Drosophila melanogaster: one gene and its partners. The protein of the gene in region 4 interacts with the protein of the main gene of each other region in a pairwise test. Each region holds a gene or a part of one and is shown on either strand. Other genes may lie near its edges. The genes, in order: stac, PIG-S, Rabex-5 and CG5359.

Region 1 (7,630 bases), about 15 Mb from region 4:
TCTCAGCCTCTAAGTTAGTTCGATACTCCCCCAATCTCTTGATAATGTCATCAATGCTAAGTTCCTGAAATAAATTATTTGTTTTCAATAAATTTGTTTGATTTAGGTAAATAAAACCTCTACCTTTATGAATGAAGGTAAGCTCTGCCGGATGTAATCCATGTTGTTTATCGCTATGCACCACTCCTCCGACAAAACTATAAAATAAATAAATTCAATACAAACAATATATGATAAAAAATGGTTTCCAATAGAACTTACTGAAATTTTTATTGTTATCATCAGCAATAAAAATATTCTCAACTCTGCGGGACATCTGTTGGGCATAAAATATGCAGCAGCGACAAAGATCCTGTAAAATTATAATAATTAGTAAAGATAACATAACTATATTTGTATTCAATCTCACATTGACGATTTTGGCTACGAAGATGTAGGAACCCTCGACCTCTGGCCAGTCAAGTTGTTGCCAAAATATCTTGATTTGGTAGAATATGGAAAGTGTGTCCACTGCCGAGGAGCTGTATTTCACTGTTTCATCGACCGCTTTCAGCTGATCCAAATCAATTGCTTTCTGGATGCGACTCAATGCCTTAATTATTGAAATATCCAGCCAGTGGGTAACTCCCCTCTCGAACCACGGGTAAAAGTTGGACAGTTCCAGGGGCTCGGAGCAAAGAGATTCTCCTGTAAACAGAAAAATCAATTAGTGATTTGCTAAGAGTGAGGACTTCAGTACTTTACCTAATTGAACGTAACGTTTGAGTATTAAATAGACTTCAAACAAAGTCGTGCCCATATTTACATTCTCAAGGTTGGGTAAATATTCGAATTGATCGTCTGGCACATCCAATCTCTTAATATTATTGCACACTTCTATTATAATCGATTTACAGATTTCAGCAAGCTTGGAGTCATAAAATAAATAAAGTACAGCGGAATAGTTAAGCTGAATTTTGCTGGAAATGAACAAGGTAAATAATAAATGATTGATTGATTCATCGATGCACAATTGTAAAACTTACTGGTAAAAGATTTTATCGAAGTATTCCATTGCACGTTGCAGGTCAGACCGCACCATTTGTATCAGTTTAATGACGTACTGCAGCTTTTCGTCATCGGTTTCGGTGTTCTTAGATTGCCTGCTGCCCTCCACTATGTGCTCCAGCCATTCCCTTGTCCCCGTGTTGATAGCATCCTCAATGGCAGTATCAATATTGCACGTTTCATCAGTGTCGTTTGTGTGTAGCCAACCATACACCGATTTGGGGAATATGTCTACACTCTCCGGCACTTCCAGCTCCTTAATCTTCTTTAGAATATCCAGAACTTCGTTCAGAGCTCTAATTATGTTTTTATCACTGGTGTTTTTGGATCTTAGTTTCCTTAGCACTGCGAAGCACGAGGGAAGCAGTCGTTTCACGCCATCCCAGAATGTTTTCACATCCTCGGAGTCGTTCTGCATGTAAGTAATCACTGGCACCACCACGTCCAGAATTGAATTGAATAGTGTGAAATTGAGTTTGTGCGTCTCATGGATGGTGCTGTACGCGTGCCACTGGCTGAGCGCACAGTCGAAAGGAGTTAGCCCACTCTGGGCAGCATGCTGGGATCGAATGAGTTCGGCATTGGGACTGAACTTGCCGCTCCACCAGTAGTTGGCCACCTGCGAGGTTTCCAGCTCGTACATCAGGAGCAGTTTCAGTAGGTTCTTGTGCTCCTGAACGGCGACACTTTTGTTCTTCTCCGCACTCAAGGCCAGATTAACCAGAAGTGATCCTCGACTGCGTCCCTTGCTTCCCTTTTCCAGGTTATACCATACGGTGAGGCCGGAAACGGGAATAGACTGAAGGATATGTGTGTTTTTTTTTTAGTGTTAAGATCTTTGATAATATTAGATCTTTTCCTACCTTCAATGTAATTGCAGCTCTCCCAATCAGTTCATTATCATGTTTTCCCGAGGAAGCTGTTACAGCAATTTCCTTCATCAGCTTGCTAAGTCCTTTCACACCCTTAACATCCAGGATTTTGTTGACTTTTTCCTTGACGGTTTCCGCAGCATCAAAGTCCCTGAAAAAAGGTAAAATATTAAATGGGAATCATGCGTTAAAATAGATAAATGGGATTCTAGCATGAAATTCTAATGTTATAAAACTAACACAACGTACTTTACTTTAACTACTCAAACATATTTCAAAAAGAATGATGAGTTTTTAAGATGCCATACCTTCGAGTTAGTTAGTTTCAGACCATAAACCTATTGATCCGCGATAAGTGCAATTTAGAGTTCAAGAAACGTTATCAGCCAGATAACGTAGGTTTTATGAGTGCGTTATATGAGTTCAATATGCAAACAAAGTCACACTTACCACACTTCAACGATAAGAACTTCGTCTCGAGCATTTTCAGTAATTGGCCTAGCAAGAAAATAAACATTAACAAATATATATCAGTTTTTATACGAAATAATCAAGACTCACAGTGAAAAGTGCTCCTCCCATATGGGATTCAATGTGGCAGGCTTGACCGATGAGTTGTATCGATGGGAGCCATTCGATTCCAAGTACAGGGTAACAAACGGATCGGACAAGCCGTTTGAGTCCTTGGACATGAGGTTCTCGGCCTTTATAATCTCGACATTTAGTCTAACATTGGGCGGTTCTTTCAGTCGCGCCGCCTCATAAATTTCCTCATGAGTGGCGTTCGGAATTTTGAATGCATCCTGCACGAATTCGACCAAACTGTTTGTGCACTCTTCGTTGTTTTCACAGCCAATGTTGTTGAAAATTTCAAATAATATCTCTTCATAGAGATCTGTGACCTGCAAAAGCAAAGGCAACAATTAGTTTAATCCCAAAACGCAGGCGACATTTATAAACCATCTAATCGGTGAAGTATTTTAATTTCTTTGAGCAAAAATAGAAATAAGTCACTTCTCTAAAGGTCAAAGCCTAAGTAAATATCGACAAATTCCAGAATACGGAAATATAAACAAATCTTCGCAGGGAAATTGGAAAAACAGACCCAGCTGAGGTCATGTTTGCTTAGATACATTCTATATAAGTATCTACTGGATGCTCGCTACAGTGAAATGTTTTATCATTCCCATAAACTATCCACTAACATAAATATTGACTTAGCTCCAAATTCGAATCAATAAACTTCTTAGAATGTTCACATTTTCGCTGATTTTTTTTTTGGTATCTTCTAGCTACACTTTACATAATTTTCAATTATGATTTTGGCAAAAAAAAAACAAGTACATAAATATATGTATTTAAGCACTGAAATACTCTGTGCACTTAACTCGAGTGACTCAACAATTATGCCAAATCAATGAACTTATACAATCGCTTTTGTTTACCGAGGCACTGATGAACCGATTCCCTCGGATATTCTTAAGATCAGTTCATTATGGATTACAGATATATCCATATCTAGATATAGCATCCAAACTTCGTTCTCTACTTACGGTCATCGAGTGGCAGACCGCCTTGGCATGGGAATCAAGTAAATGCTTGTGGACACCACGGAAGTGTCGACTGGAAATGCTTCCATTCCGATTCAGTATGCTCATCCGTCGCTCGAATGGTTTGTTGAGCGACTGGGTGGAGGATGCCTTCCGCGGCAGTCTGATTTCGTCGCATCCGGTGCGCGTACTGGATCTAGTTAGGCTATTGGTTTTCGAACTTTGGTTAGACGAACTGTGGTTTTGGGAGCCGAACTTGCTCAGAACACGTGGTAGCGATAGGTAGCTCATGATCGAACCCAGCCACTAACCGATCACTCCACTTTTTCAATGTTTTTCTCTAGGTGCAAGCGAAATTGAAATTTTTGGCAAATACTCTCTGGCAAATATACAATTCGATATAGACGCACATATTATCGAGCACGATCGGATGCGCTGGTGGACAGATCGTGGACACCCACGGACTCAGGAACACCGACTGGACACAACCGCTTCGGAGAAGAGTCTGTAGCTAAGTACAATAGCGTCCGGTGTGGGAAATCTTTGCGATATCCGAAATATCTTGACGTTGACCATGAGATAAAAAGTGTATGCGCTCAATTCGATTCAGATTGCTTGGTGTATTTGTGCATACTCGTATGTACACGATGATGGCCAAGTGTTTGTGAGCAATAATAAAGCAATCTTAAGAGAAAATGGTCTATTTTCGGATACAAAAAGGAAAAGCTCAAGGTGGTAATGAAAAATGTATTTTCTAAAGTACATTAAGCTTTCTCCCCGCCTCCCTTCAATTGGCCGCTCTAGGGTTCTTCAATGTTTGCATGTTCTGCAGTGCTTGTTTATGCTGTCAGTATACATTATTCGGTTTGTTTATACAGTCCGACTATATAGGCAAGTTCTTTTGTTTATTGTGCAAGCGTTTCGTTTCTATGGACACGACTTCATTTTCGGTTTCTGTTCAATTAAACTACACCTGCCCAGACGGCAAACATGCGAACAGCAAAATGTTGGCACAAGATAAAACATTGAATTAACTCGTAGGCGATCGTTACGCCGCGCTGCAAACTGGAAAACTGACCTATGTCGCAACTTCCTCGGTAGTCGGGCCTAGGAATTACACATGACGTGAATGTGACCAGGCTCAAAAGCCATCCATATTCACCAATACCCACCATGGTGGATAGCTAGTTTGGGAGTCGACCTGGTAAAACCCAAACTGAATGACGGAGCTTTATCTTGATGTACTTTCACTCGAATCCTAAAAGCTACAGTGCATACTAACCCAACAATTCAAAACGAGTTCGTAAAGCGGCGATTATCAATACTCTATCATGAATATATATGTATATATATATTAGGGCGGATTAAACCATAAATCATCCTTAAACTGAGTTTTACGAATTCACAAGAGCTCGTATGAATCACATGTATAAATATGAAAAATCTCTTAACGTACGCATTTGGGAGTATGTAAGATACTAAATTAAATAAATAATTTAGTAATCTTATGATTAAACTATAGGTTACGTTTAGTATAAGCTGGAGCTCTATTAGTTGCACCAGTTGGAATGCAGTTTGATTGTCTGATTCGTTGTGACCTTTTAATGGCTTTGTCAACCTGATTCACAGCACTGATTTCTCAATTACAAAACTTACATTCATCACTGGCGCCGAGTCCAGAACTGAAGTGCTGATATCCTTGTCCGAACTGGACGCCAGTGTACTCTCGGTGGCAAAGGTATCGATGCTGGTGCACTCCGAATCCTGGCTGAGTTGCAAAGTGCCATCGGGACTCTCGTCCGAATCTTCTTCTCCGCCGCTGCCATTTTCCTCCAAGGGAGCCAGTGAACTTTTGAGGACGCCCTCATCGATTTGGGACTTCTGCCGCAGTAGGGATCCAAACTTTTCGAAAAATCCATCATCTCCGTCTTGCAGTCTGCGGAAAAAGTGCAATTAGTAAATAATTCGAAAAAAGTCATTAAATATTATCTGCACTGGCTAGTCATCACTTAATGGGGATTTCATTTCGATTAGGGATACTCGTACTATGAGCAAGCTTATGTAGATGTATTTGAAAGCCCAGTGAAAAATACCCTAAAACTGAGTCATGTTTTAGTTGCGAGTGGGTGGTAAAATCGATCTGTGGCTTCCCCCACTCCCTTACATCACTTGCCATTCCTCACGCACACACGTTAATTTCACTTGATAATCTTTAATTTATCTGATGACACAGTTCCAGTTCTCCAAAATGTTCATATTTGTCTAGAGAAATAGAAACACACATTTCGGCTCGTCTGGCGAACAAATGTTTGTCTATCGGTGAGTTTTCAAGTTTTCTACAGGTATGCGTGAGTCTGTATTTTATTCATCCAACTTACTGGTGTTCATGCTCCGTGGGTGGATTCATTTTGAGCTCCTGCAACTTGAAGAAGAAGCCCTTCCACATCTGCTCCTCGTCCATTGTGATGTTGCGTTTTTAGCTTCAGAGGCACTGAATCGAAATCGGAATCCAACAAGTGTCACCGGAGTGTAGAAACATACTAACGGCTTATTTGCACCGAAACCGAAACGAACAAACGATGTGATTCATTGCCAAAGCTGCTCTCCGACGTAGATTTTTCTCAGTGGTATTCACACGCTCTTCCCTACACTATCGCAAACACATTATAATGAGCTATGGATGTTTGTAGTATCTAACATTGGGCGAAAGTGGGGAAATGGGAAGGAACGGGATGATACATACAGACAGACACCTGTTGCCATGGTGATCGGACGTTTTTTCTAGCTCTCATGCTAATGATTTTAAAAACTTATAGTTTGTAACTCTTGAAATTGTTGAATGAAAATCCATTAAGAAGTTACCAATCATCAATGGTTCTAATGGTGGTAAGCCTCACGCACACCTGTTTATGTACATATACTCTTGAAGGGCTAGGTGTTGGTATTCTTGTAACTACCTTTGCAGACTGGTGCTTCCATGGTCAAACTACGCACTTTAAGGCACATTTTCAGATGCCAAGCTAAATTATGTGCGCAACTATTTAACTACTTTAAAAACATACCTTATTTTTTCAAATATCCTTAATTCCGAGCGCCGGAAGTAACTTTTTAACATGATTAAGTCCTTTGCAAGGTCAGAATGCCAGATTGAATTAGGCTAAGAGGATTTGCAAATCCATTAGGAATTTCCTTAATTTCAATTCGAATTAACGTCTCCGTTTGTTTTTTTCGCACCCTTTAAAACTTTATTTATATCTTTTAAAATAAACAAAGATTAGATTAGATCAGTTTTGTTTATTAATTTGGTATGTAAGATATACCAACATAAATGAATCTACCGAATACCGTATTTCGATAACTTACGAATGGCAGCCCTGCAGTCCGATAATCATAACAAACCCACGGCAATAACAACAAACAAATCGTATCTCTTGTTTTTGCTGAAATTATAAATTAAAAAGCAATGAATTTAAAGTATAAGCGGCGCTACGAGAGCTTAAAACGCTCCGTCAAGAGTTATCTACTGGTAAGATCTTAGAAACTAGGGCGAAGTTATGCAAACTTAAGAGTATTTACAAGAAACCTTAAGATTCCTACTCACATATATGTTTACATTATAGCATAAAACATTTACGGGAAGTTATATGATCTATTAACTTTATAATACCAATTTCAGGAGAACGCCGCCCTCACGGATGAGATCTGTCGTCTGCAGGCCGAACTATCTGTGACCCGATCCCAAAGACTTTACTTGATAGAGCGCCTCATGTTTCACGAGGGCTTGGAGAAATCCAACAGTGGACGACCCAGTGTCTCGAATGGAAAAAACGACGCCGCTGAAACCACAAAGAAATACAGTCCTGTAGTTTCGCATAAGAACCCCGTCGAAGATAAGCCAAAAAATGTTACAATTGTACGGAAAAAGAAGCCCATGTTTCCGATGAACCTAAATAATGTATTACTCCACTCACTGGGCGAGATTATATCAGTGAATCCCAATTTTCACACTGAGAGCTGGATATATCCCGTGGGATATGTGGCCACACGAATCTACGCCCATCCCAAGGATCCGCGCAAGAAGTGTGTGTTCACATGTAAGATTTTAAATAACGCCGGGATTCCTCAGTTCCAAATAATACCCGACAATGATCTGGATGGAGT
Region 2 (6,871 bases), about 15 Mb from region 4:
GGCGCCCACAATGTCGTAGGTCACATGCGGCGGATAATCGGAGAGTATGTCCAGGGCTGTGCGTCCGTTTCCATCGGTGGCGTGTACGTAGATACCGGCCTTAAGCAGAGTGACCACAACGGACTTTTTGCCACAGAGAGCCGCCTCGTGGAGAGCGCTTCCAGCGTTGGTGAGTATGTTGACATCGACGCCGGCCGCCAGCAGTGTTTCCACCACCTTCTTGTGCCCATTCCTGCTGGCCAGGTGCAGGCAGGTGTGCGTGAATATGTGCTTTATGGGCATGCAGCCCAGCAGCTCTTCATTGTCATCTTCCAAACGCTTATACGGCAATATGAGGTCGGGATAAACACGGAGCAAGGTCTGAACCACCTGAAGGCGTCCGAATTGCGCTGCCAAATCCAGAGCCGTTTGAAAGCTATTGTTGCGTATGGCAGGATCGGCGCCATAGGACAGCAAAATGGCCACCACGGCATTGTGGCCATGTTGGGCGCCTGAGTGCAGCGGCGTCTCGTTTTCGATAGTCTGGGCATTCGGATTGGCTCCCGTAGGCGAGTGCATCAACAGCATCTTGACGATGTCCTGGTGCCCAGCCCAGGCAGCCAGAAATAAAGGTGTCGAGCCACGTATATCAGGCACATCCAACAGCGCGTTGTGGGAGAGTAGTAGCCGTACAATGTTGCTATGCCCATTTAGACAGGCGTGATGCAGCGAAGTGTAGCCATTCATGTCCTGGCAGTTGATGCTGGGACTTCGCCTAAAACTGTAAAGGAAAACCTGTAGTAAACTACCTGGAATAACAACAGTTGCTGCTGGTGACTCACCTGGACAGCGGGCCATGTCGTTTGCTCGAGTGCTCCAGCAGTTTGTCCACCGTCTTGATGTCGCCGGCTCGCGAAGCCTCCAGCAAATGCTGATCCTTGCCCATTGCTCCTCCGTATCCTCCAACACTAGGTAGCTACACAGGAGCAGAAGAACACATGTCAAGTTGTTTAGTTTAGCTTTTGCTCCGATTCCAACACAATGAGATCATCGCGAGCATACAGAATACCACAGCCCCAGCCCCACTCACACCCCCAACAAATCAGGTGGCAGCCAGGCGGAATCAGCTGTTTGGCCCTAGCACGCACAGACTGATAGCCAAATATTTTTTTTATACAAAATAGCTGTGAACATTCCACAATAGTATTTTTGTTTATAATATGGAGGGCTGAATGGTGGCTCCGCCTCTTCCAAGGTCATTCCACGGCATTGGACTGCTCCAATTGGAATTTCTTTGTCACCAGCTAGGTTTTATCTTCAAGTTTTAATTTACCGGCTATGTCCACGTCCGTTTCGAAAGTTTACAGCCATAAACGAATAACTATATTTGCCACCGCGATAAGCAATCAACAAAGCTGTGATCTAAACTTTATTTACGTGGAGCCGATCGAGCAATTGTTCGTTACTAATTGGCTAGGGATGGAGGCGTGAGGCGACGACGAAACACACGACACTCACGTACAATCAGTGATGATCAGTATAAAATGAAAGTGTGATTAGTGAGTTGAATGCTAATGCTGAATGCCTTCAATATATTATTATATTATATATTATTACTTATATACGCCCTTTATTGTTTACAATATAATGCCAAAAGTTTTTAGCTACTAAACTTTAGCTAGGTATTTGATACTGCGTGGAATAAGCTAACTACCCAACACTTGCACAGAACAACCGATATTTCCGAGCTACCATCTCTAGCTGCACAAGCCAATTTTTTTATTTTCCCTGGCAAAAATTCACGTTTTTAACCGAAAATTTGACTCACAGCATCATGGAAACCTCGAGCTCCAGTCCAGTAAAGCCCAGGAGAAAAGACAAGGACGAAGGTAAGTGGAAACAGTGAGAAATCTGCCCCAAAACGATAAAGCGAGGTGTGCCGGCACATCGGTGCCTTTGATTTTGCCTTTGCCTTTGATAACGCGTGTGTGAGTGCTGGTGTGCGTAAAAAATAGCCAAATTAAAGTTTAAGGTATGCCCCTGTTTGCCTCGCTTAATGCAAACCCATTCACTATGTTGCCCTTGCAGATGGTCGTGCAGAGCAGGAGGATTCCGCAGATCAGGTGGGCGAGCCGCACAGGAAGCTTTTGCGCCTGGGCGACATCCTTGAAACGAACGAAGTGCTCCTGAACGAGGCGTATCAGCAACCGGAACTTACCAAGTGGCTCCAAACAGCCTGGACGGAGGAGAAGAGCCAAGGGACCAAGGAGACGCAAACCGGTGCTCAGGTCTTCTCGGATCCCTTTCAAATCTGCCTTCTGCCCGGCATGCTGGAGAAGGGCCAAAGCCAGGCGCTGGTCGCCGAGATCATCCAGAAGGTGCAGTGGTCGCGCAAACAGATGGATTTGTATGAGTTCTACCAGAGCGCCGACCTCTCCAACATGCCCGCTTGCCGACTGTTGACCAACTTCCTGCAGGTGCTGCGCAAACAAGTGCGTCCCTGGCTGGAGAAGGTTACCAACCTCAAGCTGGACTATGTGTCCGCCTCCTGCAGCATGTACACCTGCGGCGACTATCTGCTCGTGCACGACGATCTGCTTAAGGACCGACAAGTGGCCTTCATTTACTATCTATCGCCTTGGGAAGGAGCGGAGGAATGGACGGATGAGCAGGGCGGATGCCTAGAGATCTTCGGTAGCGACGATCAGTGCTTTCCACAGTTTCCAGTGCAGCGAAAGATCGCCCCCAAAGACAACCAGTTTGCCTTCTTCAAGGTGGGCTCGCGCTCCTTCCACCAAGTAGGCGAGGTTACTACATTCGACTACCCGCGTCTTACCATAAACGGATGGTTCCACGGCGATACCAATGAGGCCTTCGTGGCCGACTCCCTGCGCGCCTTTCCCCGCCTGAATTACCTGCAACCTGATGGCCTTAATAGGCCACCGCTTGGCCTGTTTCTAAACAACGTGTATCTAAAGGGGGCCACCCGCCGGAGCATCCAAAAGCGGATCGAAGAAAACTCCGAGATTTGTTTATACGAGTTCTTCAAGCGAGAGAAATTCGAATTGGCCCGGTCGCAGCTGTTGGCCGATTCGGATACCTTGAAGTGGCGAAGACAGGGACCCGCAAACGCACACAACTATGAAGTGCTGGATTTGACAACAGCCAGAGGCACCATACTGGAACTACTGCAACTGTTCCGTAGCCACGCCATGTTTGATTTGCTGCGAGATTTCACCGATCTGGATTTGGCAGGCACCGATGCCGAAAGTCCAACATGCAGCGTGGAACTGCAGCGCTGGTCCCACGGCAACTACACAGTGCTGGGCGACGGTTTGACCAGCGAGGAGAACACTTTGGACCTGGTTTACTACCTGAACGCGGCAGAAGGAGCAGCGGTGATCACATACCTCGCACCCGACGCCGAAATGCCAACAGCAAAAGCACCGACGGACGGAAGGCGATCGGACTACGATGACGAGGAAGAGGACGATTCCGTTCTGCTTACTATCACGCCGGTGGACAACGCCCTGAACATAGTATACCGGTGCGAGGGCACCACCAAGTTCACCAAATACGTGTCGCGCAACACGCCCCTTGAAAAGGGACCTGTTTTTGTTATTTCGTGCAGCTACAAGGAGTAGCATGTGATCCTGTTTCACAACATGCGCACAATTACTCGTCAAGGACTATTAACATTCATACCGTTCTCCTGTACAGAAACTAATTTACATAATAAACTTTATAAAACACAAATCAAAATATTATAGTTTTTTGTCGAAGTAATAAAGTGTGAACCCAAAGAACGCTTACGACCGCGATAAATCAGGAACTAATCAAACACTTCTCTTTAACTTTACAGATAAGTTCCGGATCGGGGCTACACTAGCATTTATCGTGGTCATCATTGGAATTGGCGTGCCCATGTGGTGGCGCACCACCACAGTCTACAGGTGAGTCAACCATGTCTGGCGGCGTTTTTCCAATTATACCTAAATGTTGCAATCGCAGAGTCAATTTGCCCTCGACGGAAATTTTGAGTCTGAGTAAAATTCCGATCAAAACGGCTGTGCAGGTGGCCATCTACACACAACAGACCAGTCGTGGCCAGTTGCTCATCGCCGAACTGCAGAACGCCTTCAGCGACAATGGTAGGTGCAAATTCATTATCCATTCATATTTCTAAACGGCATGCATTTCCCATTAGAAATATGGTCTGTGGAATTCAAGCAGCTATCTCCTACGCCAATGACCCAGGAAGCACACACGCCAGCTGCTCTGGAGAAGCTGTTGCTGGAGAACCATGTCCAGAGCGTTGGCGACTTCATGTTCATCGAGTGGCCCAAACTGCAGGAGGAGCTGCTACTAACCACCGAAAGATCGGCACTGATGCGAAGTGATACACGTGAGTCTATTGCAATGATACGGAAACACTTGTTGGCTTTTTATGTCCGAAGTTTTTAAGGTCCTCGATAGTATAGTGGTTAGTATCCCCGCCTGTCACGCGGGAGACCGGGGTTCAATTCCCCGTCTGGGAGAAATGAGATTTTCATTTTTTTTTTTTTTTCAAATCTTTTATTGTCTGTTACTTCACCTTCTATTATTGAAATAATTCTAAAAGTAGAAGTATAGCGCATAATTTATTATTTACATGATAATGCGGTTTTAAAAAGAAATATATATTTTATCGGTCTCCCCGACGGGGAATTGAACCCCGGTCTCCCGCGTGACAGGCGGGGATACTAACCACTATACTATCGAGGATTACGAATGCTTTCGAATACTTTTAATGCCCAATGAAACCCTTTCCTTAAAATTTCAAGGACTAAGCTAAAATTACTCTAGTAAATTAAAGATTAGTTAGCTAAACTAATAATGCTGTTTTAACACCTCCTAGCTTCCAACAAAATCGCCCAGCTCCTGCACGCCAAGATCCTGCAGACGTATCGCATAAATCAAATTTTAAGTACCGATGAGCGGATGGGCGCCAAGTCGGAAGCTCCGCAACCAGCCTACGATGTGATTGTCTCTGTCCTGAATCCGAAACCGAGACTCACCCATGCCAAGTGGAACATAGCAATGGCTGTGAAGAGTAAGTATTGAAAAACCACAAAAAGTCTTCACTTACTTATGCCAATTTACATTTTCAATAGCTTACATTGAGCCCTGGTTGGCTAAGGTGTCCGGTGTTTCCAATTACACGGTGCGATCGCAGTGGAAGTACCGGGTGGCCATCGAGGCTGATCTCAAGCAGGTGCGCGACCAGAGCAAATTGGGGCGACACTACGCCCTCCAGGAAACCGCTCTGCCTCATCTGCTGACATCGATTGCCCAGAATCTAAGCGCCAGCACCACCGACAAGCCGGCCATCAACCTGGTGGTGTACATTCCACCGTGCCACATCGCTCCGCTTCACATCTACAACAGCAAGGATCAGCGGCTGACGCGGAACGACGTGGATGCCTTCATTTCGCCACCCTGGGGTGGCTTCATCATTGCTAATCCGCCAGAGCATGTGTGCCTTGCGGCCATGAGCGATCAGGAGGCAGTTCCCTACCATGTCAGCACCACGGACAACATGCAGGTGATGCTGGACCAGCTGCACAAGCTGCTCGACATCAGCAGTGAGCTTCAGATGGAGGGCGTTAAGGTGGTGGATATCGAGCAACTGGAGCCACGTCGCTGGGAGTATGAAGCATACCTAAGACGCAGTGCCATTCGACACATATCCACAGCAAGCAGCACGCTCCAGAGCCTCATCAAACTGTTGGGTACGTTTTTAAAGATACCAATGAAGGATGTTTAGTCAACATTTTTATTATTCCTATTTCTGATATTATACAAAACTCAGGGCTCTTCGACAATTAAAAATGAACTATTTGCAATTTCCGCTTTATAATTAAGTAGCTTTTAAAATGGTTGACGCTATTTTTATTGAATCTGTACTGCTTGAGAAGTTTAATAACCACCTTAATTGGACAATATTATTTAATAATCGCTTCCTCCTCTCGTTTAGATCAAATCAGCTACATTGTGATAGACGACGAGGTGGGTGCCGCCATTACAAATTCCTATGCCGACATCTTGGCTGCCAAGGCTGCTCTTTTGGAGCACCGACTGGCGGACGCTTCGGTGCTGGCCAAGCGTGCGTTCGTGGCCTCGGAGCGCGGATTCTTTGACGCCAGCCTGCTGGCGCAGTTGTACTTCCCGGACGAGCAGAAGTACGCCATCTACATTCCACTCTTCTTGCCCATCATGGTGCCTGTACTGAGTTCCTTCAACATGCTGCGTGGTGTGCTGCAGGCCAGACGGAAGGAGAAGCAGTCGTAAACGAACCATAACCAAATAGTATCATCCCTCATTAAAACAATATTTTCTTTATAAGCTGTTACTGGTGCGATTTATTGGTTCACTTCGGTTTTACGTAGAACATGTCATCGTCAGGGCCTCGCGGTCGATTAGATTTGCCAGTTCTATAGTATTCCAGCATATTCAAACTGTAGACTGCCGCGCATAACAAGTAGGTAGAAATTATTCGTGCCAACATTTTGGTCTATGAGATCTTAAAGAAACCTGGTGGAAATGGATTTAAAACTCAAAAATTTTGATCTGTCATAGAGAGTTGAATGCTTTGAAAACAAGTCCACGTGCCACTAATCTTTCCCAAAGTTTTCAACGTTGGGAGTGCTGTATTTTGATGCCTTGGCTGCTGGCGGACCAGCACGGTCCGCTCAGCGTGTGAACGGCGCGTATAGGTCAGGTTCAGCGGCGAGATCGCTGCCGGATGAATGTCAGACGTGGCAGGAGGCCAGCCAGACACGCAGTCGGTGGGTGAGTCATATATTGCCAATAAGTCTTGTTTCCGACTGATTTCAAAATATCACTTACCGAT
Region 3 (4,796 bases), on a different chromosome or scaffold from region 4:
GTTGTTTATTGAGAAGTTTATGCTGATCGCAGGACTGAAGTACTTCAGTTAACCAGGGCACTGAAGAAATGTCTGAAATGTCTTTAGAAGAGTCCTAGCGAATTAATCAAGTACTAAACACAGTCGGAAGATTCAACTACCAATTTGATAAAATTAAAAAAAAAAAAGATTATTTTCTTATAAGTATTTAATTACAGCATGTTTGTATAGTTTAAAAGTCATATGTTTCATTTTGTTTCTTCGTTTTGTCAAGAGTTTTGTTTGTATAACTGTATATATGGAAAGTTAAGACATATTCTTTTTGAAACTTACAATTTCTAACTTGCTGTACTTTCTGTTTTATACGCCGAACTTTTGAATACACAGGGTACTCATACATAATTCGAAGACAAAATAAGAACCACAGTCATCAGATCAGCCAAATAATTCCAATTGATCAGCGATTGGAACAAGGAATTTATTGAAGCAAATCGTTAGACTTGAATTTTTTACAAATGCAACTCTTTTGTAGCGAATTGAATACACTCAGATACGAACAAATCAAAAACCAAAGAATGTTTAATCAAAAACCTATAACCAAAACCAAAGTCAGCATAATGTTGAAACACACGCGTTAAAGATAATTACATTGTTAGCTGTAAGAGTTGAACGCATACAAAGCAAAAACAAAAGCCAAAGACATCATAAGTAGTGTTAAATTCCAGTTCAAAACTATACACGAGACTTTTTCGAAACGGTTGAATTGCAAATGGGAAGTGAACGAAAACAAGAACGATCATGTTAAGTATACGTAAACTATCGATAGTAGTTGAGCACGGCAAGGCAAGGTTGCATTTTGATGACAGTAGCGAAATAGTATTAGCAATTTTTAAGACTAATCAAAACACAAACAGAGACAAAATGGTTTTTTCCAAATCTTTTTACTGCTAGACGAGAGAACAAATTTAGAAGAACTAGAGATAAAGTAGAGGTAGTGTTGAACTAGTCGAGTTGTTAGTAGTTGAGTGCATTATTGGATCGTCAATTACGAGGAGAGCTGGACGATGCAAAGGTTTGTTTGCAGATTTAAACTTTTCATTGGGGAACAAGATCGGTAACGTAGCGTAGAGCAGTTAGGACAAAAAACTTTGCAAATTTATAGTCTAGTCTAAGCCATAACTCTGTGTTTTCTGAGCTTTTTCCAATTGCTGTTGTGAACTACTACCATTAGCGACCCTTCCAGAAATGCATTCTTTTTACGTGTATAACCGTCCTAAATGTTACTACTTTATCAACTTGCTATGTCGATATACGTGTGTAACTGGTTTTAAAAATGTTTGTGTGCATCTAAGAATTGAATGTGTGTTGAAATGTTCCCTAGGACACCACGATTTTACTACATGTATTCGATCTAATTGTGCAAATTTCCCTAAGTTGCAGTTTAAATATTTTCTTTACGAATAAAATATGCTAAAATCCAATTTTAGTGGAACATAACTGAATAGTGTTTTAATTGTATGTGGGTTTACAGGTCATATGCGAACTACGTTCTTTTTTATCAAAATTATATTCAAAAGAGGGAAATCCCCCTTGTACGAAGCGAACTAGTTCCATTCGATGGGCGGCTACTTAAAGCCGGCGAACCAGCTCATCTCTAACTTTCTGAGCGATGTCCCACCACTGGATAAAAGACCATCTGGCAACGCTGGCAGCAGTAGAATTATTTATCTCCACAATTCAGTCACGAAAACAATAAGCAACAAAGGGACTCCCACAGATAAGGGAGCTGTATTTTTATAGCCACACCTCCGAGATGTCAACGGCGGCGCGACCTCCGTCTTTGCGGCTGGGCCAGCAGGACCTCAAGTGCCGTTCAGGATGCGGGTTTTACGGAACCCCCCAAAACGAAGGATTGTGCTCGATGTGCTTCCGAGAAAAGTTTAATGATAAGCAGCGGAAGTTGAAGCGTAAGTTGAAGCGTAGGTCCCCAGACAATGCTTGCATATAACTCCAAAGCCGATGAGCGTTGAGTCATGAAGTGGTTCTTTACAGAGACGGGTGGCGAGACGGGTCCTGGATCCTCTTCCTCGGTCGCCACCTTGGATCGCCGATCGCCACAGCATGCGCACCTCCAGGGAAAAGTGGAGCAGCAGGTCAGGAAGCCGTCGGACAAGGAGCAGGACAACTTGGGAACCCTGCAAAAGAAAAAGTTTACCGCTGTGCTGCAAAAAACTCTGCAGGCGGGAGCCCAAAAAAGTAATATTGCATAGCCACACTGCCTTTAAATGCTTATACTTGGATATTCCTTAGTTACCCAACAGCGTGGTCATGTGCCGGATCCCACGGAGGGCCAGTTCCTACTGCAATTGCGGCAACTTCGCATTCCCGACGATGGCAAGCGGAAACTCAAGCTTGAAATCCAGCGTTTGGACAGCGACATCCGCAAGTATATGAACGGAAATGGCGGCAAAAACATCAACGAACTATCAGATTTGGTTCAAAACGCCTACACCAAAGTCTCAGACATTGTGCACAACGATCCCAGCTTCGAGATAGCCACCAACGAGGATCGCGATAGTGCCATTGACTTCTTTGAGAAAGTGGTGATGACGCAGAACCACAAGTGAGTCAAGCGGAACGTTGATATCAGAGGAGTACATATTTTTATCTGGGAAACTCTTTTTTTTTTTTTGCAGATTTCTCTTCAGTCCCTATTTCACTACCGATGAGGACAGTGACGTGAAGGTGCAGAAGCGGATACGCCAGCTGAGCTGGATTACGGCCAAGCATCTGGACTGCAGCATCGACGAGGTCAACTCGGAGGCCAGGGATCTGGTTTACAATGCTATATCCGAGCTGGTGGGCATAGATTCGTACTATTCGCCGCAGGAGAAGCTGCAGTGCACTTGGCGCTGCTGTAGGCACATCTTTGAGCTTCTGAAGCGGGCAACTGGAGGACCCGCCAGTGCGGATGACTTCCTACCCGCCCTAATATTCGTCGTGCTTAAGGCAAATCCAGTGCGACTGCACAGCAACATCAACTTCGTTACGCGCTTCACAAACGCTTCGCGGCTGATGAGCGGCGAGAGTGGCTACTACTTTACCAATCTGTGCTCCGCCATCGCCTTCATAGAGAATCTGAATGGCGAGAGTCTGGGCGTCAGCAGCGAGGAGTTCGAGGCTCTGATGTCCGGACAGCAGCCCTACAGCACGCCCTGGGAAAGTGCCCTGTTGGCCTGCGAGAGCCTTCACCTGATATCCGAGAACATGAAGCGAATGGAGATGCTGCAGAAAAGGAACGCCCTGATAAGCTCTGGAATAACTTCATTTGAAAAAGAGCTTATCGATTTCCAAAGAGAGGTGACGGAACGAGTAGACACCGTGATTGCCAAGGCCCCACTCAACCTGCTGCCCATCAAAACACCCGCTTTTCTGATTGGTCAAGCCAGGGCGCACCTTCTCAACGAAAGCGAGGCTGGTCATTATCAAGCGAATATGCTGCACGGCGGCTCATTGACCTCCCAGTCGCTGACAGCAGCCGGTGGGTTGGTAAAGCCCGCAGCGGCGTCTAAAGAATCTGGATTGTCCCTTAAGGATACCAGCATGAGTTCGATGGGCCGTCTGTCGCCACTTCAGCAGAACGTTCAGCCAGCCGATCACCTCTTCGCCTCTCCAATCTTTAACTACACCGCGTTTGATGCCGTCTCGCTCTTGGAGGAGCCTGTGCCCGATGCGAACACAGACGTACTCATGCTGGGCTCCGAGTTTCAAGGAGGCCTGACCAATATCAACTACGACTTCGACTTGTCGGATCAAAGTGGGGAAAACAGCACTGCGGACGAGTCAAAGCTGAATCTCGACGAATTCGACCCCTTGGCGCAGAAGGGCCTAGTTGCCAAGCCACCGCCGCCTCTGCCGGAGACCAGTCTGCTGGATAGCACAACGGATAGCCTTATAGATAGCGAAGTGCCCGGCACAGCTGTCCTGCTTCCATCCCCTCTGAAGCCCGAGGTGTCCAACTACCGGGGCTTCTCAAACTTCGATATTCCCAGCATCTCGTGCAACACGGGAGACTTTAGTTCTCTGGGACAGGACGGCGCGGATGCTCCCAAATAAACGTTTGTTCACTGGGTCACTGAATCCTGCAGCTGTGTGAATGTAAATAAGTTTAAGTGAAATATTGTAGTTAGCCCAACGCTTCAATTCAAATTTCTGCACATATTTATTTGTACCATATTTAACTAGCTTTACAGAAAGGACGTTTAATAAATGCAATCTAACACATACACAAGTTGTATTGTTTTTTACAATAAACGGTTAACTAAGTTTAATTTCTTTCCCAGGGGTAATTGCATGATTTTCAAAAGTCCCGCCAACTGGGCATCACTTATCCAATAATCTGGCAGCACTAGAAAAGTAACAAGAGAGATTGTTGTTTTCGAAATATCTCAATCACACACGATTTATTCTCAGTTTGCCTGCCGAACCGAACGGACGTGAGCGCTCACGAGAAATGGCTAGAACCCGAATTCAGATGCTGCTACTTGTTGTTGCGCTGACGGCGGTGATAAGTGGAGCAAGTGCCTCCAGCATACCGGAAGAGCTGCCCCACAATCCGCTCGAGCACGACCCCCTGCACCCCAGGCACTTCGACGGGGGCGAGCACAATGCCCAGTTTGACCACGAAGCCTTCTTGGGCCCGGACGAGTCCAAGAAGTTCGACAGCCTGACACCCGAGGAGAGCAGGCGGAGATTGGGCGTCATTGTGGACCGAATCGACGAGAACAAGGACGGGTCAGTCACATTGGCGGAGCTAA
Region 4 (3,598 bases):
ATACAAGCGTCATGCGATACCAGCATACAAGGATCTGGATGCAAATCTCTTTCTGACCCTCTTCAATCCGCACACGCATGTCCCGCACCACCCGCTGCACTTTCCGCCGCCAGTGCCCGCTGCCTTTGCACCCATCACGAATGATTTTGAGCCACACTATATCGGAGAGGCGGCCGAGGGAAAGTCCAACTATAACACGGATGTGATCAGCCACGTATTCTACTTGGGCAATCAACAGGTGGTGCACACCACCTTCAAGGTATATAACGCAGTGCTGTACTACAAGTACTTTGAGCACCTGAAGATGAGCGTGCTGGAGTTGGAATTGGACACACCGGAGTACAACCTAATGATCCTGTTGCCCGACTACCACACGGATATTGTTGCAGCCGCCGCCTCCTTGAAACTGGGACCAACCCTTCGACTGATGCGGAAGCAGTTGAAGCCACGCTGGGTGCAAGCCATCATTCCAGATTTCAAGCTGCACGGCACCATGTTTTTGACAAACGACTTGCAGAATGTATGTATTCATTTGTAGAGTGCATTTTTGTGTTTTTATTGAGGTGTCTTTGGTTTTTGTGCTCTCTGTTGCAGATGGGAATGTAAGCATGGGTGTAATAGCTCCAGTTCCTGGCTTCATTTTACTTTCGTTGCAGCTGCGACGTATTCGAACCAAATCGCGCCGATTTCAGGCCCATGACTGAGGAGAAGGGCGTCTACGTGCGACACATTGAGCAATCCATAGACGTCACCATCCGTACGCATCCCATCAATCAGCTGAAGCGTAAGTGTCTCGCATTGCAGCACACCTGAATGGAATGGAGTGGAGGCATTGAGCCGCAACGCATTGCGAATGCCCAACCTAATGGTGTTGCAACAGTTGCAGCCTCTGCAACACGAGACAAAGTGCAATAAACACTTCCTTTTACTCTCTAGGCAACTACGGCGCCCAATCGAAGCCCATTCAGATCTCTGTGAATCATCCGTTTCTGTTTTTCATCGTCGATCGCGACTTGGACGTGGCTGTGATGTCGGGCCGCATACTGAATCCGCTGAACGTACGCATCCAATGAAGCACGACGAAGGTCGACTATCGAAAGTGATGAACCCTTTGTTCCCGGTGCCTACTAATACGAGATGTTAGCATTGCTTAGATTAAAATGTAAATATACGGGGGTGTCACGAGACTCTGGGCAGATGAAATTTGAATGGAAGTAAAGAAACTTCATACTTAAAATTATCATTAAATTAAACAACATTTGTTGAATATTTTATCTATATAATATTTTTAGAAAACACATCTCGTGACAACCCATTTAATGTAAGCTCACCCCATTAAAGTATAATCCTTAGTCTAACTAGTTCTGTGGGAAATCGGTTTTAGTACTGATACGTTCCAAACACTGTACAGACGCAAAAGAGACTGGTGTTGCTGAAGACCTCGGAGACGGAAGTGTCGCAGTCGCAATCCCAGCAGCAGCGCGAGTTGTAAGTGGCCCCCGCACCCAGCTCCTGGCCTAGCATCACCTGGACCACGTGCTTGTACCGCTTCACCAGGGAGCTGCTGGCTATCTGCTGGTTCACCTCGTCGGCGATCTCACTGGTCCACTTCTTGGCGACGTCCTTGTCATAGGTTTTGTCTTCAAATAGTGAAGTTGCTAGGCAACGCGCAGTATATTTATGGATTTTCACACTAACCTTTGAGTTTCTCGGCCATAACGTTGTTCATTATGCTCTTGATGGTGGGCAGGGGAAACATCTCCCCAAAGGCCGGTCGCATGCTATAGGCGGTGGGCTGGTCGCCGGGCTTTTCCGACTTTTCTTGATTTTCCAAACCATCGGCTGAGCCGGAGTGCAGACTTCCTGACGCCGACTTTTCCGACTTCCTATCCGCTGGGTTGGGCACTGTTAAAGTCTGGACGGATTTGGTTGTTTCCTCAGTGGACTGTTTGTCAGCCATCTTTTGTCAAATTCAGCGTAATTCCCTTTCAAAGTGTTTAAGAAAGCACCAAGAAAATCTTGGTTGCTATGTTTGTTTACTTATTGCTAGTGTTACCAGATGGTAAAATGGCTTTCCCGCCAATCCCTAATTGTCAGTCACCACGAATAACCGAACTTATTTGGTGTGGCCACTTTATAACAACGAAGTGTGGCACCTCTTTCATTTTCTGGATAATTTAAATTTATAATACGCGCCAATATTTTATGTGCGTCAAGTTAGCGTCGATGGCGGAATTTCCCCATTAAAGAACATTTCTTTAAGGACATTTAAGGAAAACTTCACGATAAAGTAGAACTATAAAATCGTCCTTAGGTTTCATAAAATCTTTATTCAATTCAAAATAAATCGAAAAGTTACATAATAAATTCGATAAATATGTTTTTATATATGCAGGTTATAAATAAAGTTACGCAATAATTTAAATGATTTCGTTAGTATACAGTTAATGGTTGCTTTCTCGCTTACATCGCTATGTGTAGGCTCTCGCATTTAGAAAATATTTGTGTGCATCTCTTTGTGTTCACTTTGATTTCGATTGGGGGCAAATGACATAATACATACATGGGTGTGCTGATCGGGAGGATGTGCGGAAGGTGCTTTGTCAAATAAATAATAATACACTCAAACGGTTTACATAGAAATCGACAAACAATCGCTAAGTGAAAATAACCTAAGAAAACTCAAATACACCATTTACATTTGCTCAAAATCACATACCCTTTGCACACGCTCACTACATTACATTAAATAAAAACACAACATATTGCATAGGACATACAAAAATCAGACAGATTTCAGTGGCAACGACTAACAAAACGTACAATTAGGTCGAATACGAAACTAAAGGTATTCGCAAAAACATTCGTAATCCCTACTTTTAAATTGCGAAATTAGTTTTTTGGTTTTGATTTCATCTCTGCCTGTTTTTACATTAACCTTGCGCGCTTCTCCCATATTAGTTAGGCTCTCTACTTATATAAATATTGAAATTGTTCTTAGCCAGCTTATCCACTTTGAATAGTTAGTTGCTCGTTTCGGTTACAGCTCACGGGTTTTAGTATTGTTAATTCTGTATATTCAGCTGCCTTTTTGGTACGCTCTCCCCTGTTCCCTTGTTTCATCTTAAGTATTTAGGCTCAACAGTCCATGCACCACTTCGCAGACCAGCAATCTCCAGGGAAAGTTGGCTATTCAAATCTGAAACAAGTGGTGTTGTCAATTTCAAATTTAAACATATAGGTCCTATTTACTCACGATCGATTCTTCGTGGTCATGCGGTTGTCCCGTCAGCTTAATGCCCGTTGCCTCGGCGGACGTGGATGCTGATCCCGCTGCCGTGAGGTCGAGCTGGGAGGCTGTGGGTCGTAGGGCGGCTCGCTTGGCGACAATTTCCAGCATCTCGTTGAGAATTGCTCCCTCGGCGGCCACATCGGCAGAGCTTTTGTCCAGTTCTGCAATGATGGAATTAAATATTATATCAAAGTTTTGAGAGGAAACTATAACACTCACTGTTGCAGGACAAGCGCAGATTGAGCTCTTCCTTCAGCTGGGCATGCCGATACTCCAGTTGCAGTTCCTGTTGCCTTATAGTCAGTT

The links.
Region 1: the proteins of CG5359 (region 4) and stac interact in a two-hybrid assay, tested with the Drosophila melanogaster proteins (one large-scale study listed by BioGRID).
Region 2: the proteins of CG5359 (region 4) and PIG-S interact in a two-hybrid assay, tested with the Drosophila melanogaster proteins (one large-scale study listed by BioGRID).
Region 3: the proteins of CG5359 (region 4) and Rabex-5 interact in a two-hybrid assay, tested with the Drosophila melanogaster proteins (one large-scale study listed by BioGRID).

What each region holds. Positions count from the first base shown.
Region 1 is NT_033777.3:25,055,400-25,063,029, reverse strand, and holds the start of stac (staccato), read right to left. Parts: upstream 6,012-7,630; 5' UTR 5,931-6,011; coding exon 5,848-5,930; intron 5,406-5,847; coding exon 5,126-5,405; intron 3,950-5,125; exon of another isoform or gene 3,761-3,949; coding exon of another isoform or gene 3,473-3,760; intron 2,822-3,472; coding exon 2,481-2,821; intron 2,418-2,480; coding exon 2,370-2,417; intron 2,071-2,369; coding exon 1,911-2,070; intron 1,847-1,910; coding exon 1,026-1,846; intron 960-1,025; coding exon 745-959; intron 688-744; coding exon 410-687; intron 353-409; coding exon 262-352; intron 198-261; coding exon 124-197; intron 65-123; coding exon 1-64. Other genes in the region: CG31111 (uncharacterized protein), read left to right, coding at 6,933-6,995, 7,146-7,630. UniProt on the Drosophila melanogaster protein: Essential for tracheal development in embryos. Functions with the GTPase Rab39 and downstream of dnd, to regulate lumen fusion between previously separate tracheal branches (anastomosis).
Region 2 is NT_033777.3:24,912,706-24,919,576, reverse strand, and holds PIG-S (phosphatidylinositol glycan anchor biosynthesis class S), read left to right. Parts: upstream 1-1,712; 5' UTR 1,713-1,813; coding exon 1,814-1,868; intron 1,869-2,067; coding exon of another isoform or gene 2,068-3,623; exon of another isoform or gene 3,624-3,737; intron 3,738-3,841; coding exon 3,842-3,932; intron 3,933-3,990; coding exon 3,991-4,130; intron 4,131-4,186; coding exon 4,187-4,384; intron 4,385-4,445; exon of another isoform or gene 4,446-4,517; intron 4,518-4,671; exon of another isoform or gene 4,672-4,743; intron 4,744-4,876; coding exon 4,877-5,071; intron 5,072-5,132; coding exon 5,133-5,750; intron 5,751-5,891; exon of another isoform or gene 5,892-5,995; coding exon 5,996-6,309; 3' UTR 6,310-6,361; downstream 6,362-6,871. Other genes in the region: CG11168 (uncharacterized protein), read right to left, coding at 1-760, 822-925; sud1 (sudestada1), read left to right, coding at 1,814-1,868, 2,068-3,623.
Region 3 is NT_037436.4:1,294,234-1,299,029, forward strand, and holds Rabex-5 (Rabaptin-5-associated exchange factor for Rab5), read left to right. Parts: upstream 1-1,679; 5' UTR 1,680-1,792; coding exon 1,793-1,946; intron 1,947-2,031; coding exon 2,032-2,235; intron 2,236-2,289; coding exon 2,290-2,602; intron 2,603-2,675; coding exon 2,676-4,095; 3' UTR 4,096-4,264; downstream 4,265-4,796. Other genes in the region: CG32333 (uncharacterized protein), read left to right, coding at 1-52; scf (supercoiling factor), read left to right, coding at 4,493-4,796.
Region 4 is NT_033777.3:9,999,242-10,002,839, forward strand, and holds CG5359 (uncharacterized protein), read right to left. Parts: upstream 2,036-3,598; 5' UTR 1,961-2,035; coding exon 1,699-1,960; intron 1,641-1,698; coding exon 1,381-1,640; 3' UTR 1,332-1,380; exon of another isoform or gene 1,265-1,331; intron 1,128-1,264; 3' UTR 1,074-1,127; coding exon of another isoform or gene 937-1,073; 3' UTR 785-936; coding exon of another isoform or gene 657-784; 3' UTR 603-656; coding exon of another isoform or gene 595-602; 3' UTR 530-594; downstream 1-529. Other genes in the region: Spn85F (serpin 85F), read left to right, coding at 1-520, 595-602, 657-784, 937-1,073; Mical (molecule interacting with CasL), read right to left, coding at 3,194-3,199, 3,257-3,453, 3,512-3,598.